Linked DNA regions of Daphnia pulex. The protein of the gene in region 2 interacts with the protein of the main gene of each other region in a pairwise test. Links are inferred from orthologs where the notes say so. Each region holds a gene or a part of one and is shown on either strand. Other genes may lie near its edges.

What was found. The genes of interacting proteins can lie anywhere in the genome.
Region 1: the proteins of WD repeat and FYVE domain-containing protein 2-like (region 2) and PRA1 family protein 3-like interact in a two-hybrid assay, tested with the Caenorhabditis elegans proteins (2 studies listed by BioGRID). The link is inferred for Daphnia pulex from reciprocal best matches to the Caenorhabditis elegans genes wdfy-2 and praf-3.

What each region holds. Positions count from the first base shown.
Region 1 is NC_060026.1:3,445,112-3,451,554, reverse strand, and holds PRA1 family protein 3-like, read right to left. Parts: upstream 4,930-6,443; 5' UTR 4,833-4,929; coding exon 4,633-4,832; intron 4,577-4,632; coding exon 4,359-4,576; intron 4,289-4,358; coding exon 4,146-4,288; 3' UTR 3,743-4,145; downstream 1-3,742. Other genes in the region: N-sulphoglucosamine sulphohydrolase-like, read left to right, coding at 766-919, 1,308-1,437, 1,573-1,709, 1,865-2,018, 2,145-2,340, 2,426-2,468, 2,529-2,648, 2,714-3,090 and 3 more.
Region 2 is NC_060023.1:3,620,028-3,631,548, reverse strand, and holds WD repeat and FYVE domain-containing protein 2-like, read right to left. Parts: upstream 10,134-11,521; 5' UTR 9,960-10,133; intron 9,541-9,959; 5' UTR 9,510-9,540; coding exon 9,340-9,509; intron 9,279-9,339; coding exon 9,137-9,278; intron 9,059-9,136; coding exon 8,853-9,058; intron 8,778-8,852; coding exon 8,493-8,777; intron 8,425-8,492; coding exon 8,319-8,424; intron 8,248-8,318; coding exon 8,157-8,247; intron 8,093-8,156; coding exon 7,851-8,092; intron 7,780-7,850; coding exon 7,732-7,779; 3' UTR 7,355-7,731; downstream 1-7,354. Other genes in the region: nanos homolog 3-like, read right to left, coding at 5,923-6,014, 6,085-6,202, 6,270-6,637, 6,767-6,791; cytochrome b-c1 complex subunit 2, mitochondrial-like, read left to right, coding at 10,288-10,329, 10,400-10,554, 10,609-10,800, 10,865-10,979, 11,041-11,416, 11,484-11,521. UniProt on the Caenorhabditis elegans protein: Plays a role in coelomocyte endocytosis.

The DNA of each region.
Region 1 (6,443 bases), on a different chromosome or scaffold from region 2:
ATCCGCTTGAAGTTGACGCCGCAAGATGGCGTTTAAAAATACCGGGAGAATCAGTTGAAAACAAAACAAAAATGAAAACAATTTACGAACCAAATATCGATTTCTCAAAAAAAAAGGGGAAATATAAGGCACGTAATGACCGCAATACACCCAAACTTTATTTTTGGGTGGGAAGTAAGTGGGAAAAGTCCACCAAACTAAACTGAGGTGGACGCGATAAAATAACCGCCGCTCTCCACTTCTCTCGCCGACTCACGGGGTGTAATGAATGTGAATTGCTATATTACATTACCCAGAGAGGCTTTTATGGCGACGACTGGGCTATAGCTAACTATAGCTGCTGCTCGAAGGAGACGAAAAAAAAATGTTAGAGCTAAACTTATACGACTTAGGGGTGTCTGGTTTGTGTGGACGACGGCCCGGCGGTGGCCCGGCGTCGACGGCGAACGTGTCGCACTGTCGCCGGGTGCAATAAATAAATCACCGGGGTGATTGAAATGAATGAGTTTCACTTGGTGTTGATCGCTGAAACTTCCCAAATAGGATAGGATAGCAAATAGGATCAAATACAAGGCCACGATGGAATATTCACTTTAAACGCTGAGTTGTCGGTTGTTTTCTACTTTGGGTCGGCGGGATTGATGTGGCGACAAGCGCTCCCCCTATTTCAAAAATGTAGCCTAGACTCCGACGACTAGAATTAGTGTCAAACCAGTTGGCAAAAAGTCTGGCGCCCTGGCACGTTAGATCCCAACCGCCCGTCTTATGATGATGATGGATGGCAGTCTCTGCAGGCCTGGAATTAATCGTTTTTTATATTTTTCTTGGATGTTGTTACTTCTAATTATTTCCCTGCTAAGCTGTCAGCTTGGAGCCTCCGCTGCTTTATCGCAGGCCCGTAACGTGCTTTTGATCATCGGTAAGTGTTGGCACAATTTGTGTATTCTTTTTCCCACAATATTTGTAAAAATTACAATAAAAACAACTTGCTGGTTTCTCGCATAGAGCATTTCTATTCGGTAGAAATGGTCGTTTTCTTCCAAACTATAATCTCTCAAGGGGGGTGGGTTGCAAGGAACCAAGGAAAGTGTTCGTTATTATCTATAGCGCTAAAACAAACTTTGTTCTTGTTACACGTCCTTGGTTCGTCGAGTTTTTTTTGGGGGGGGGGGGGGTAGAAAATAAAGAGTGGGGTTGTAACTGATAACAATAAAAGAGACTTTGTAACTATGTTTCTTTGGCAATACTCAATCTCTGTTGTATCCGCCATATTGAAAAAAAAAATGTGGGGTGGAAAAAACAAAAAGCTGATGATGGCGGATTTGAAATGGGCGTTTACGGAAATAACCGGTGCCAAACGCCCCATTTGGATGCGCTGGCCGCCCAAAGTTTGGTGTTCTCCCGAGCACGGACTTCGGTGAGTAGTTGCTCTCCCAGGTCAGTGCTGTGTGTTATCTATAAAAAGTACTTTTCTGACTTTTCTTCGCCCATATAAAAATAACGTTCGTATATATACCCCACCACGTCCCATGTACACAACAACAACACACACACCTAAAATGGGCGAAACAGTCGGGCTGCTTTGTTGACTGGACTTCCGAGTCATGAAAATGGATTATACGGACTGCACCACGACGTCCATCATTACAACTCTTTCGAGAATGTTCGGTCACTTCCGACAATCCTTCGGGAGAACGGAGTTCGTACTGGTATATATATCTATATCCTATATAACTAATACCACTGCATAGCACTACACAACATAATTTTTCAAAGAAAAGATTCCGCTAGAAAGAAAAATAAAAGTCTTATCTTCTTTTATGGGTTTGGCATGACAACTCAACTGCTGCGCTACATTATTCAGGCATTATAGGGAAGAAGCATGTCGGTCCCGGATCAGCCTACACTTTCGATTACGAGCAGACGGAAGAGAATAATTCCATCATGCAGGTTGGCCGGAATATAACCCGAATTAAGTTGCTCGTCAGGGAATTCCTCGAGCAGCAAAATGAGACCCAGTGAGTCGCGATCTGTCCCTTCTCGTTTTAATCTTCGCTCTAATTGGCTGATTCAAACTGACTGATCCTATTACAAGTCTTCAAGTTTTATCTGGTAATTTATTAACGCCATTTTCTACTGCGCAGGCCTTTCCTCCTCTATGTGGCCTTCCACGATCCTCACAGGTGTGATCACAAGAATCCATTTTACGGCCATTTCTGCGACAAGTTTGGCAATGGAGAGCCTGGCTACGGTCACATTGCAGACTGGAAGCCGATTCGATACAAACCGGAAGATGTCTTACTGCCTTATTTCGTTCCTAACACTGCGGCGGCTCGAGAGGTTGATTAATTATTCTGAAATTCAATTAATCGACTTCAGTTTCTTTCAATAGTAGGCTAAATTGATTTTATTACAAAATAATTAGGACATAGCGTCGCAGTACACAACAATTTCGAGACTTGATCAAGGTTTTAATGAATGGAGTAGTATAAATGAATGAAGCGATGAGATGACATTAATATTTACAGGTGTCGGCCTGGTGCTTGACGAGCTCCGAAAAGCCGGCAAGGCTGACGACACTTTGATCATCTTTTCGTCGGATAACGGGATCTCATTTCCCAATGGCAGGACTAACATGTACGAACCGGGTATATAAATTCAAGTCAAATGGATTTTATTTTACTTCAGGATATCGTCTATTTCCATTTTCTAGGATTGGCCGTTCCAATGTTCATCAAGTCTCCAGACGACGAGTCAAGACGAGGTGAAATGACGGACATCCAAGCCAATTTACTGGATATAGTACCCACCGTTTTGGACTGGTTTGAAATCGATTATCCCAAATATCATATTCTGAAACCAAATCAACCGATCCGCCTCACCGGAAAGTCACTTTTGCCACTTTTGAGTGGCGAAAACGGTATGAAAAGTGACACATTCTACGGCAGTCACGTAACGCACGAGATAACAATGAATTACCCAATGAGAACCATCATCCAAGAAGAGCGCTACAAATTAATACACAATTTAAATGCGCCCGGTACTCCGTTTCCCATCGACCAGGATTTTTACTTATCGCCAACATTCCTGGTACTACACATGTCGATGCGTAGTGCAAAAAAGCTTTTTCCACATTTGACTATTCAGTAACGAGAAACTCTTTCAGGACATGCTAAATCGAACACTGAATGGGCGCCCTCTACGCTGGATCAAAGAGCTGAAAGATTACTATTTTCGCGAGGAATGGGAAATGTTTGATCTCAAAACGGACCCGAAAGAATGCGTAAATGTACATCGCAAAAAGAAATACAAGGTACGTTACAAAAGAGGTATACATGCAAAGTCGGAGGAATAAAAGAGCCTCTCGCTATTCAATCGACTTTTGAAATCTTTGACTTGATTTAGGAGAAGTTCTTCGAACTGAAGGAAAAGCTGTTTCAGTGGCAAAAATCTACTTACGATCCATGGTAGTACAAGGACTTGTGTGATAAAACATTTTGTGAGATTATTTATTTATTTTTTTTTGTCTAAGGTTATGTGCTCCACATGGAGTACTTTTGGAGAATGCGGAAGGCCCTTTCTGTGCACCGCTGCACAATCGGAAGTACTTCAAAGAACTTTAAAGCGAGCACTTCCTCGAGGTTTTATGAGTGATATTATAACTACTACCATTAGTCGATAAATCCTGATGTCAATTTTCAAAGCAAGCGCAATAAAGTTTGAATCGGAAAATAACAAAGTTGCAGACCAGTGTTTTTATTCCAATTAAAGTGATATTTATTTTTTATGTCCACATTAATGCTTAAGAGATTCAAAAAAAAAAAGAAAAGAAACCAAGAAGCCTATTTGACAAATATAACCAACTATTCCGAGAAATTGTACGGTAGTTGTTGAAGTGAAGAAATATTTTAAAATCAATTATCAATTTGGTAATTACTTGAATGAATTCTGTGACTGCCTATTCACATGACATTCCAGATTGTTGGTTTGTCATAGAGTGCTCACTTTGGCTAAGCATTATTATTAGAAAGGAACACAACCCCAGATTAATAGCTACTCAACACAAGTTGAACTGAAATTATATCACACATGATTCTAACTTGTGGTGACTAGCGAATGCCAAGTTTGCTTGCAATAGAATTCAGTCAATCAACAATTCCAGCTTCAAAACCCAATGCATCCAGAAGCATCCCCATGGGTGTGGACTTCTTCAGTCCTATCTGCTCCATTTTGTTGGTCACTTTATTACGTAGACTACGAAGGCGCAGAGACGAATGTATAAATGTGGCTAACAAACAAAGAGTTTTAGCATAATTTTGAATTGATTTTAATAATTGTCAATAGGCCTGAAGACTTACCAGAAAATGGGAGCAAAATTCCCAAAAGAAATACCAAATTTCCTTCAAGAAGATAAATAATCAAATAAGCTCCAAGAAGAATGGAAATTATGCTGACTACAGGGTGTTCCTGCTTGAATTTTGCAACTTGAGGACCACCATTACTAGCTGCAGCGAAGAGTCCACATGCCAACCCAATAGCAAATAATCCCAAAACCATCTTGAAGGGATGAATAAGCCTGTAAGAATATTAACTATTAATAACATTTAAACATTTAAATTTTAATAATGTTACCCAACAAGAGCAAAGAGAGCTAGAGCAAGTAGAAAGTAGTTTGATTGGTAATAAATAAGGTTGCTGTACACTCTTTTCCCCCATTTTTCCATATCACGGAAATTTGGCACTTGAAATCTCGCTGATTCTAATAAAAAATCATCTGAACTTCTTAATGGGGCCACTTCAAATGCACCATTTTCTTTTGAAGGCGTAGCCATTTTCTTCAATGTGTAATGTTTTCGTTAGATGAGCAGAAGACTATCTGATGGCTCATCAACACATCACTACTACTGTTCACTTCCCCATCTGAAATCCAGGGTGGCGCTAATAATATGTTTATTTTTTTCCATTTCCGTGCTTCAAATTTAAATACAAAAATTCAACCACAATTTCAATTTAAACACTTCCCGCTATAGTTGCGCACTTCTCTTTGCATCCAAGTTACAATACTTAATTTGAATTAAAAAAAAACGAATTAAAACATATTTTTTGGTACGAACTGGCCAAATGTGGGTTCGTACAGTACGAACCCACTTGGCCACTTCTATCTTTCTATGTTAAAAACTCATGTGTTGAGCTTGAGCGTTACTCTAGTTTGAAAATAATTTATTGGTTGCGCTTTCAATAAAAGTTCTGATCTTCCGTGAAACGAGTGTGTGATACTTGGACAGTCACGCATTTCATAAATTTCTTTCAACATTATCTGGCGTTATATAAAAGAAATATGAAGCTCTTTTTTCTTAATGTAAGGTTCGGACTGTCAAATGAACAAAATCCACACAAGTTCCCTTTTATTCAGTTTGTCACTGTCTCAAACTTTGGATTTTGATATCGAACATGCACGTAGAATAAAATATCATGTATTTATTATTCTTCTTTCATAAAAAAATGAATGACAAAAGTTAGTTTGCTGTGAGGATAAGGAGAATAAGTCCGCTTTCGAACAAGGAAACGGGGATTGTTTAACTTTCTGATAGACTAGTAGTAAAGCACATAATGTAACCATTTTTAATTAAAGAGTTTCGTTCCCGGAAACAACTAAGCTCGTCAGTGTTCCTCAATCTTCTTCGTATACGTACTTAATAGTTTTTCTCTATTATTCATTGATGTATTACATTTTTTCATAAACTAGGACGGACGGCTAAATTTAAACGAATGCGGGTCAAAATTAACAGCATTTTTGCTACTTCTAGATATCGCTCCTATTTATTTTTCGAAATAAAAAGCTTCTAATTTGGCTTTCCATAGATCAAAGATACTGTAGTACTTGCGAAGTTGCAGCGAATATCGGGAAATGACTACGATAGTGGAAAATGAGGTACGGTAAGATAAAGTCCAATTAGAAACCGGAAGTATTTTTTTTTATTATTTTGAATCGTTTGCACTTTTGCTTTGGCTGTTTTCGGGGTTCTTTTTTCAGACAAATTTTTTGTGTACGTATTTCTTTTTATGAAATTTAAATTAACAAAATACTATACGACGATATTTATAAAAGTTTAAGAGGAAAGGGGATTAAATTAATTAAATTTTCCTATTATAACATGCGTTGAAAAGAAAGATCTTCTCTTATGAAAATGTAACTTACGTTGCAATACGTAATATAAATTGTGTTGTTGCAAAGCCTATGTTTAGAAGTAGAACATACCCAAACTCTCCGTACTGCTACTATGCGCTACTATGCTACTGCTGGTATGCCCGTCTTCCAGTTCTGTATGTACTGTTAACTGTTCATGTTTTTAGTGAAGAAAGATTCCTGGGTATATTTAACAGAGAGGAAGATCTCACATCAGTCAGACCAGTTGAGTGGGAATGACATTTCGACTGAAACA
Region 2 (11,521 bases):
CATGTGGACAAGTTTTTGAATGTTTTCTTTTCTATACTTCAGTTCAATTTTTAAAATTTGTTTGCTAAGCTACCGCCGTTCCGGTTCGGTACGCATAGCGACATACATAGAGAATAGGAAAAATGGCTGGAAATCTAGGTAAATTTAAATTTTATTTAGGATTCATTGCTCATGTCTGTAATAATCTCCATTTTGTGTTGAATATTTAACGCTACTAGGTAAAGTTTTAGGCAAAAACATAAAAAACTTTATTCCACTCTGTTTAGTACGTAGTTTTATCACGTAGTAAAGTGTTCCTTATTTCCAGGAAACGAACGTACATGCTACACATGCGGTGAAGTTGGACATTTGCATCGAGAGTGTCCCAACCTCAAGTCCTTGCCTTGCCGTCATTGTTTCCCGATGGGGCACCGTTGGCGACATTGCGACACCCGTTGTTTCTGGGAGGAGATGTGACTCAGCTCCGATGACAAGTCAGAGTTCTTCAGGCTGTCTTTGATCGGTGAGTAGCCATTTCTATGAATTAAGAGGCCCACTTTAAACAAAGTTTTTTTTTTAATATCAGAAAACTCCGGTTTGGTGTTGACGAGTTGAAGATGAGTTTGATCAATTTGAAATAAATCTAATACTCAATCCATTCTTCAAACTCATTTCCAATTCTTAACAGATGTCACTCTTGAGAATTTGGTCGATTTCTCCCTTAAAGCCAACGAAGCAAAACGCGGAGCTCTCTACAGCAGCGTAACAAAGCAAAAGTTGCCCATTTGGCTTGCCATGCTGCACCATTTCAAGAACGTTGCGGAAGGTAGGGAACAGCATCCGCAATACGTTTGATATTCAGTTTTCCCTCTTCCCCGTTAACAGCAACAGTATGTGGTTTTAAAAAACAACAGATATTCATAATGGGAATGCCTAATCCATTTTTCATTTTGAATAGGTACCTACCCGATCTTCGCGAGACTTTTAGGCCATTTCTGCATCGCCCAGATGAAATTTTACCTGGAATTAAAGTTCCTCAAATCTTCCTCGGTCAGCTGGGTAGTTTCTACTGCTGGCACGTGGAGGATTTGTACCTCTTCAGCATCAACAAACTTCACTTTGGCAAACCCGGCCTATAAATAATTCACGTTTTATTTCAACCGTGTTAATAGGAGCAGCCAAATTAAAATTTTGGAACACCCAATTTGTTAGCAAAACCATAAGAAAATGGATTAAGCTCCACCGATGAGTCTGATGGATGGAAGGAGGTAGCTGAGGGAGGCCATGCAAATCCTGCCACGCGTAAAAGATTTTTATCTCCCTCTCCTTGAAAAAGATACCTTACGCTCCAATGTAAAGGTTCACTCGGTTTTCTTCATCCTAATGTTTCTTCATGATGTACAGTACCTACCAACGAAAAGTTGTACACTGTACCAATTTCGGCCGCATTTAACACGGCGTCTTATGGCGCTACGTGTCACTCGTTTTTATTTAATATAAAAAAAACATTTGTTTTTTAGTGTAAGGTTGAAACTAAATTATGAACAGGATGTGGGGATCGGCTTTTTGTTATTTTCAATCCCTTTACTCCTGTACATGGGATCACCTGTACCAATTTCGCCGAGCGAAAATTTTATCGTTCGCCGTGCATTCGTAATGGCGCTACGAAAAAAAGGGCCCTATTTTCTAAATTTTTTTAAAAATCGCCCTTTACAGTTGCAACCCTCTAGTTTTCACCAATAAGTTGGTTGTGTTATCCAAACCTTGTAACAAACAATGACACGGAAATTTCATGATTGATTAGTCGACAAACCAAATGTAAACTTTGATTGCTGTATATCTTACTCGTGTTACAAATACAGTGTTTTATTTGGGCAGATTGAATTTGTAATAGAATTATCTAAAAATGAAAAGTGTTAAAGTTGAATATTACAAAGTAAACTAGAAATAATGTAGAGAAATGCTAAGTATGAATATATGAACATAGCTAAGAAAATTTTTGTCGACAACTTCTGACCACTGACCATTTCTGAGGAAAATACTTCAAGTTTTACGTCGGTTTCAAGGAAAACTAAATAAAAAGAAGACAACAAATTGAGAAGCTGGAAAAAGAAATTGCAGGCAATAGGGCCTAAAAAATCCCAAAAGCAAAAAAAAATATTCCAGAAGAAAAAAGGAAAAAAGTCTGAAACAAGGAACCCATTTAAAGAATTGGTAAAAATGTTGGAAGAATGGCTAGAACAAGAAAAACAGAAAGAAAAACAGAAAGCCATCGAAGAAAAAAGGAAAAGGACAAACTGAAAGCTGTCGAGGAAAGGAAGAAAGTTATGGAGAACCAGGAAGATGAGGAAGAAGTAGACGAACTAGAGCATGCATTCTCCGACTCATTCCTTGAGTCGGATGAATAAGATTCAGATGCAACAGCAGTAGCGCAACCTCCTAGTTTTATTCGTCAAATTTAAAACGTAAGCTAATTTTTTTATTAGTTCTAACGCCCTATCTCTTACCCGAAGGAAAAGGAAAAAAAAGATGACATCAAATCAAAGAACTTGAAAAATCCCTTTCAGATACAAACCTGGAATCAGATAGCGAGGACCCTGATCAAACATGACTGTTGCCCAAACACCCAATTTTTCAAGACAAAAAAAATCGTTACTAGTCCCAAGTAAAAATGGAAAATGTTCACGTTAGCAGAGTGAAACTGAAGAAAGAGGTACAAAAAATCCCTAATTTCCTTCTTCAATGAGCTCTTCCCTAAAATAAAGGCTGGGAGGGCAAAAGGAAAATTTCCACACAATTCGATATATCTTGAATCTTAATCAATAAATTCGGAAAGGTTGTTTTAGTCCTTATCCTTATCCTTATCCTTATACTGCTTAATTTTATTGGAAAAGTATTCAAGTTTGTCTTATTCTAATCTTACACAGATGGATTCAAATGCACAACCAGTCTCCTGAAAAGAAGAAAGTTGTCTGGAAGGACTGGGTGTTCAGCCAAAGATTAATCGAAGAAGTTCAGAATGCTGCGACTAACTTGTCATCTCAATGTTACCCATTTGGGAAATTGGTCGCCCCCCTTCATGGTGTGGAGGACTGGATCATTGGGCATGGGTACCCAGATTTTGTCTTTGCTGAAGATGAACTACGTGAAATGATATTCACTGAAACCATGTAAAGTTGATGCATGTATTTTATGTTAACTTGGATGGAAACTAATCTAAACAATTCAATTTCAGAAATGCTAATATGACCCTATCGCACTATGCCAGTGTTGCATTGGAAAGACTCAAAATTTGCTTGCAATTAAGAAATATATATCGGGTTTGGTTTTTGTTCCGTAGTGTTCGAAGGTTGTGTTATTATGTGTTGTGCATGTTTATACAGATAGTGTTCTTAATTGTATTTTTAACGTTCGACAAGTTTCAACTATTGCCAGCAATCTAGGTGATTCCGATAAGTTAAGATAAGTTGCGGAGCTATCACTTACTGAGTGTGACTGCCGTTACATTCTGCCTGAATGTTTACGGGAATATGTTCCAAGCAGGGCTGCCAATTTTTGAGAAGGGGTTTCCAGAGAACGTTGCCAGTCTAGGCATGGTGTATTAGTATGGTGGGGGAACTTATGGTTGGAATTGGCTATCTCGGCTGAAGCCAGTAGTCGGACCTGCTGATCAGCGCTGCCTTGTGGACATTTGGGTGATTAGGGTGAACTATGAGCTTAAGCCCCAACCCCTGAATGCACATTGCTTGTGTACTTATAAAGCTATAAAAGCGAAATAAAAGAGTCAATCACAGTAAGTAAGTATTATTTTTCCAGCTTAAATTATTTAAAAGGCCTGTCATTCCCGTTTTTTAAGTTGAAAAACGTCAATTTTGAGAAAAAAAAATTTTGTTGTACTTTTAAAATTAAGAAATAATACTTTCAACTTAAGCTACGAGTTTCAAATTTAGACCACACATTGACAAAGTTCTCGTTTACATTTTCACTTATTTTTTTGAACCTACGTCAGTTTTAACTTAACCTTTTATCACATCAAATTTGCTCATTTTTTAACTTTTTAAATTTCGCGCCACCAGGTGGTGCAACCTTTGATTTTGTCGCGCTTGGTCTTAAAAAATAGTTTATCCTTATGAGAACATGTTCTGATAGATAAATGAGCCAATAATCGCATTCCAATATGCTAAAAAAAATGTAATGATTATATGGTCAAGCGGACTTTTTAAAAAATCGAACGTTCGCGCCAGGCGAACGCGCCATTTTTTTTCAAAATCCTTCGAAGAAATTTTTTTTTTATTCATATGAATCGAAAAAGCCTATAGTGGCGATCAAATCCGTGAGATGGTCGCTACAGGTTTTGGTCGTTTTCATATGGAATCACCCCTTTATAAAATGCAGCGAACTTTTCAAATGGCAATGTCAGTAGAAGGTTAATTCACGTAAAATGTATTTATGCGCTAATTCAGAACGATTCAGAATTTTACTAGATGGTCGCAATTACTGAAGTCGGATGATACCAGCACCTCGCCCCAACTTTATTACGCCGTAGGGCTATGCATATTTATAATGCGAATGAATAAAAGCTACATATAAACCGGTGTTTTATAACGATCTTTGGTCTACCGTAAACATCAAGCCGATGAAGCCGACGCTGTAATTATATTCTTTCTACTTTTTGGGGGAAAAGATTTCAAGGACCTATATTGCTGTGCTCGGATTTCTCTTATTTAAATGTCTCACCGTCATTTTACATTTTTTTTCCCGATGCTGCAAATCGGGTCAAAAAGTTCAAATTCAATTCAGTTCTCCTGGAGAAATTAAACTTTTTTTTTAAAAATTTCCATCCGAATATAACAGGCGTATTCGTGAAAATTGTATGTGTAATAGGTTTTATTCGTCAGCGTACATTTAAAATCTGTGAAATATAATTTGGGAAATTAACTGCTTGAGTACTTATATATAGTATATTAGCCTAAGCCTGCGTTATTGCAATCTTCCTACACGAACCATGACCCATCTAAGTGTGATGCAATACTCCAACTATGCTGTGGTATAGATCCAAGGTACATATATTATATACAATTAGAAAGGAGAGTGAGAATAATCGGAGTTGTGTGTCTCCCGTTATCATCAAGTTAGCTATATATAGAGAGAGAGAGTCTACACCATCAATTGAAAAAGAGATGAGGTCTTTGTCTAACACAATCTAGTCATACACCACCAAGAAGAAGAAGAAGAAAAAAGGAGGAAAGGATGCGCTCGACGTGATGCAATGATGACGCAACAGCGAACACAAACGCAAGTGAAAAAAAAGAGGGAAAGTAAAATAGGCCTAGTGTACAAGATAATGTTGGAGCAGAGAGAGAGAGAGACACAGCAATAAACCATGGCAAAAGCCCGTGACTGCGTGACTCTCCATCAAGGTTATGGAGAACAAACGTATATAGCAGGTATATACACACAGGAGAGAAAATAACAACACAACAAACAGCACACACATATAGCTGCGAGGTTCATCCTTCGTCTCTTGTTTTCCATGTTCAGACAATTCCCGAACGATTCCAGTCATTGTCAGCAGATAGGCCATGTCTATATGCATAATACTCGATCCTGTCATTCAATTAGATTCGGTGTTACCAAGTGTGTAGTAGACCGAAGAGAGGACAAGATTGCATTGCATCTAATTGTAATCTATTTAAGTACTAATTAATTATTTCCTTTTTCGATCTCTTGCCTCAAAATTCAGCTATTTTTCTTTATTTTCAGATCCATATTTCGATCACATAAAAATTGACAATTAGAAATTAAATCACGATTAAACTCATTACAACTTTTCCAGATTTCATGTGGGGGATGTTAGATACGATCACAAAATGCATATCGCTTAATTTCAGTGCCAAAGAAACAATAAGTTAAATTCCCGGAGTGGTGGAATTGTATTCGGGGTCACATATGAGTCCGTTTACCGGTTGCGTTGTTGCGGGTAGTTTTCAGCAGGATAGCCATGGGCGCTATCTTCCGGCTGCGATTTTCCGGACCTAAGACAATTAGATGAATTAAGTCAGACAAACTGTCGTGAATCATTAACTAAAAATTAAAATGTATTACAATAAAACTTGGTGTGAGCGTTGTCGCCTGTTGCCCCGCACATCTCACAAACGTACTTTCGCAATACTGGACAAATAATAGCACGGGTGATTGGATGGCGTAAGGTGTGGGACTCAACCTTGAAGAATGAAGACATTTTAGTTAGATTTCCAATTTCAGAAATGGTCTACGAAATTTGAACATACCACGCTGCGAATTTCTCCGTTTTTGGCGCAAAATTGACAATTAACTCGAGATTGCTTGTTCGCAGCAGTGGTGGAGTAGATTGACATTTTGGTAGATCCAAGTTTAAATACACTTGGAGGTTTGACACGAGACTCAGTCAACGGCTGCATATTCAGAACTTGATTTAACTCCTTTTCCAGGGAAGACCATTCATCTTCCGAAACCTTACTAACAGGTGGAGCAGTAGGACCAACAGAAGGCTCTACGAAAGTGAAAATGTTGTTATTCAACTGTGGGCTGTCTATGGTGGGAGAAGAAGTGCCATATCCTTCATCCTCCTCAATAGACTGGATAGTTGTTGCTACAGACTTCTTTGTTAATGCTCTGCCTAATAAATAGAACCAAAATCAAAATAGATATTAACTAAAATTCACTAGTAATTAATAGTTAAAAGAATTCAGAGATCGAAAACAAAAATTCGCATTTCGGAAAAGAAAAAAGTAGGTAAAACTTTTACCCGCAAGATACTGATGTCGAATCATTTTTGCTGATTTAAGAATACAAGTCGTGTATGTAAGATGTAACAGTAGACGCTTACTAAATAATAACACTTGGTGACAAACAGAAAATGTTGGACAATTTCACCTAACGACTTGCTCCTTTCGTTTTAAACCTTCGAATGCTGTTTCAGAGTTTTGAATTCTGTGTCTCACAGGTTACCACTACCCTTCTTTCCCACGTTTCCGACCCTCTAGGGACTGAGCCAGTCAACATCTGCGCCAATCAGCGCGAACGAGGAAACTATTTCCCACCCCCTTCACAGGATTCTGTATGTCTACCTCTTTCTCTTCCTCCAACCTTCTCCAAGAATTGCTTTATCACACTATTTTTTAATCACATTTCCAAACTAAATGTCTCAGAACTAAAAATCAAAATTTGCTATTGATTGGCTATGATATTTTTTACGCATTCAAATACATCCACATAACCAGATATTTTACAATTTTCGATAAAATTGTTCAGTATAAGAATTATTTTCACGTTTAAAGTTTACTCGATGACAATTAACATTTATATCAATTTGGCACTCGAAAATATTAATTAATTTATCTTAATTAATGAATTTTATTCGAGTTCAAATTGGATATACATGAAGGGCTTAAGGCGCACATGTTGAGGAGGAGCACAACGGGAGGATGACCGATTTTGCCAAAGAAAATTACTGCAAGCTGCAGATTAGAACATATAGCAAACAAAGAAACAAAGATATTCATCGAAACGAATATTAACTATCCACAAATCTCACCAAAATATAACAGGTGCAGGGGGGGGGGGAGGGGAGAGGGAGGGCACGGTTAGAGAATACAATATCAGACCGCATTGGAATGAAAATTACAAATAGCTGTGAGAACAGGCGGGAAGGGTTTATGACGATGAAATTTAAACGATCACAGCCAAATGATATATATCAGGATATTAAACTCAAGCGTCGTTCTTCAGGAGAGAAGAAACATCCCAGATCTTCATAATCTACATGACAAAGTTCCAATATAAAATCCTTCCCCATCACTAAAAGAAAAGTATAATGGATGAAAACTTACACGATCATGGCCAAGAGTAAGAAGTCGACCGCGCTCTTCGTCCAAATTAAGCCAGAGAATTGAGTGTTTAGCCTCTTGACAAACGGCTAACGATACTCGATTTGCATCGGTGAGACTCTTGTTGCATTCGACACAAACTCGTACCTCATATTCATAACCGATTGCAGGTAAAACGGAGCGATGTGGTGAGCAGTCATCACATACGGCCCTCCCACATTGCCGACAATGATGTTGTCGAAGACCTACGTATAGTCATGCAATTGAAATAATTTAACTTCTACGTTAACTCAGGCATTGAGATCCTACCTAGTTGACGCTGATCGAACATCCCCCTCAAATTCCAAAAGAATGGACGACTGCACCTTTGGCAAGTACTGGACTCGGTCCATTCAGAAGTCTAAATAAAGTATCGAATTTAATAACCCGATACCGTATTGGAAATTTTAAATCATTAAGGCGTTATTCCACCTCTATTCGTTTAGCTTTCATGTTCCATATCCACAACATGGAGTCTTCTCCTCCGGAAACAAGTTTACGGCCAGTGGGAGAAAAACATACAGCCATGACTTTATTCCTAAATATAAAAAATATTAAAATAAAGCAAAACAATGTCAGTCACAAAACGGAAATTATTCTTTATACTTGTGCCCTTGAAGTTCATATGCCGTCCCTTGCTGGCCTCCAATGTCCCAAGCGATGATGCCTTTATCCTCGCTTCCAGAAAACAAAAACTGATGACCAGCATCCCAGGCTAAAGAACGAACTGGACCAGAATGTCCTTTAAAGACGGTGATTTGTTGAACTCCAACAGCCTGCTGTTCAGTTGTGGTATTACTAGTGGCCAAGTCCGGTTGGGGATCCAACTTTAACATGGTAATCTGACCAGAAGCGTCGCCTACAAATACATGGCGGGATGCGAAATCGAATCTATTACAACAGAAAACCATCGACAAAATCAATATATGAATTTCAGAACAAATCTTCTTTAGTCTTTAGATTTACTCCAAACAGTATGCCCACGCTGGACAAATGTGACCACCAAGGCGTCTGCCTGATACTGCGCAATAGTATTGGAACCATTTATCACGACCAACACTAAGTATCCACGAAGGAGTCGGAGCGTGGTGCACTTGGGTCACACGGGCGTGATGTGATAGATAGTCCCGCTTGTGTGTAAGCGAGTTATAATCCTCGGCCAGTACAAATTCCTGTACAATAACAACCAAATAGATGAGACTTTAGATATGCGGAACTTCAATATTCAAGAAATAATTTTAAAATATTACCGAAACTGTGCCGTTTTCTTGACCAACAAATACTCTCCAGACTTTTTTGGTAAAGCAGACAGATGTTGCTCCTGATGGCATGTAATGGCAAATGCTGGGCCAAAACTGGCCGGAATCGCGTTTCAACCAGACTCTTACAGACCTATGAGACAACTTATTTCTTTATGTACATAAATTATAAACAAAATGAAATAGTATAAAACCTGTCATCACAGACAGCCACAACACCATCCTCGCCTGGTAGTATAACAGCTTGATTCACAGTTTCTTCATAGCCCTCAATCTTGTGCAATAGAATAGGTTTCTTCTGGTTCGATCTAGTTGCTGCAGCTGATGTTGCAAGAATAGGAACTGGCTTGATTTCTGCTGCCATAATGATTGTTTCTCATGAACAACCTGACTGACTGAGTAATACATGAATAAAAAGTTTATATATTATTGGTAAAGATTTACATTAAATAATAATGCAAACTATCCATTCCTATTTTTCCAACCAGTGTGTATACCACTTGAGCAGTTGGTTTGGAAATACACCCCTTTTCTGATTATAAATAGAAACAAGGTTTGTGCAGTTTTTACACATTAACGATGATTTAATACCAATAGCTTAACAAGCATAGATTATTATGACTATACATGAAGGAAAAGTGCAATTCAGCTATGACTCAAATACTCAAAATCAATAGTTTGCCATATTAGATCAAGCAGGTGAATAAAATCCAGATGACAGATCAATAAACAACTAACAAGAATATATTAGGACTAGATTGCACTATGTTTAATAATAGTATTGATCTACTTCATAAAATGAATAAATTTTTACATGGACTAGTTGAATCAGAAAAACGGATGATGAATTTTGTAAACAAGTCAATAAGAAGAAACGAAATTGGTAGACAGTAGACACAAACAGACACGATTTTCTTCTTGACAGACGATGTGGTTGCCGAAACGCATTTCGCAATTCAACTCGCCATCTGGCGAAAGGAATATTAAGCTTTAGGACATATTTGTCGAAACTCCTGGTGAGAAAAACTTCATTTCGGTTTGCTGAACCGACTTGTCCGCTAGGTGATAAAAAGTAGAAAATCCGCCATTATTCCTTCTCAGGTCTAAACAATCAGCTGGTTTGGGGTATACCAATCGAAGAAATGGCATCGAAATTTCTAAGTACCCAAACGGTCAAAGCCACTGTAAGTCATTCAACTTTTAAGCAATTTCCTCAGTGAAATGATCAATTGGATAATAACTTCTTTTTAATAGCGTGGCTTCGCTGCACAAGCCGCTGCTAAACCGGCCGCTACGGAATTTTCTCCCGTTCCTCGGGAACCCGTGAAAACTACCACTCTGAGTAATGGGATTGTTGTTACTTCGATTGAAACTAACGCCCCCCTTTCTCGTGTTGGAATCGCTTTCAAGTAAGAAATAGAATTTGTGTGCTTGTTAAAGTGATAAAAAAATTTCTTTTTTAGAGCTGGATCACGGAATGAACCATCAGGAAAAGAAGGAATCATTCATCTTTTGCGAATGACATCCAGCCTAAGTACTAAACAATCAACCCAGTTTTCCCTTACACGTGTAATCAATCAGGCTGGAGCTGCTTTGACCTGCACTTCTGGTCGTGAACATGTTCTCTACTCCGTAGATGCATCTCGCAAACAAATGCAAGTTTTTACAAGTCTATTTTGCTGAGATTTATGTAATGAATAATTTTTTATCATTGCACAGTGATGGAGTTCTGCCTAAACTGGCTGATGCAGCCACTCAACAAGTATTCAAACCTTGGGAGCTGTCTGATAACCTGTACAAGATTAAGCTTGATTTGGCTGCAGTTCAGCCTGAGGTATTGCACATTTATACTTCACCATCATACAGAATGTTAAACCAAATATTTTAATTCTTAGACACAAGTTATTGAACTCCTTCACAAGGTAGCTTTCCGTACAGGACTGGCCAACAGTCTTTTCTGCCCCTCACATTTGGTTGGGAAACATACAACAGAAGTGCTGCAAAGCTTTGTGGCTGCCAATTTGCGTGCAGACAATGCTGCAGTTGTTGGAGTTGGTATTCCTCACGATCGCTTGGTCGCATACGCCCAAAGTTTGGCTCTTAAAGCTGGTCAGTCTTGCTCGGGGGCTCCTTCGAAAGTACACGGAGGAGAAGTACGTGTGGATACGAGCAGTTCTTTAGCATATGTGGCTGTAGCTGCTCCCGGAGCTTCTCTGGCTGACACGAAAGCCATGGTTGCATTTGCTCTTCTTCAGAGAGCATTGGGTGCAGGTAATCATATTCCCCTTCTTCCCACAATTAAAAAGTCTATCAAAATAACTCCTTTGTTACTGTCTAGGAATCCCAGTTAAATATGGTTCTGGAGCAGGATCAAAA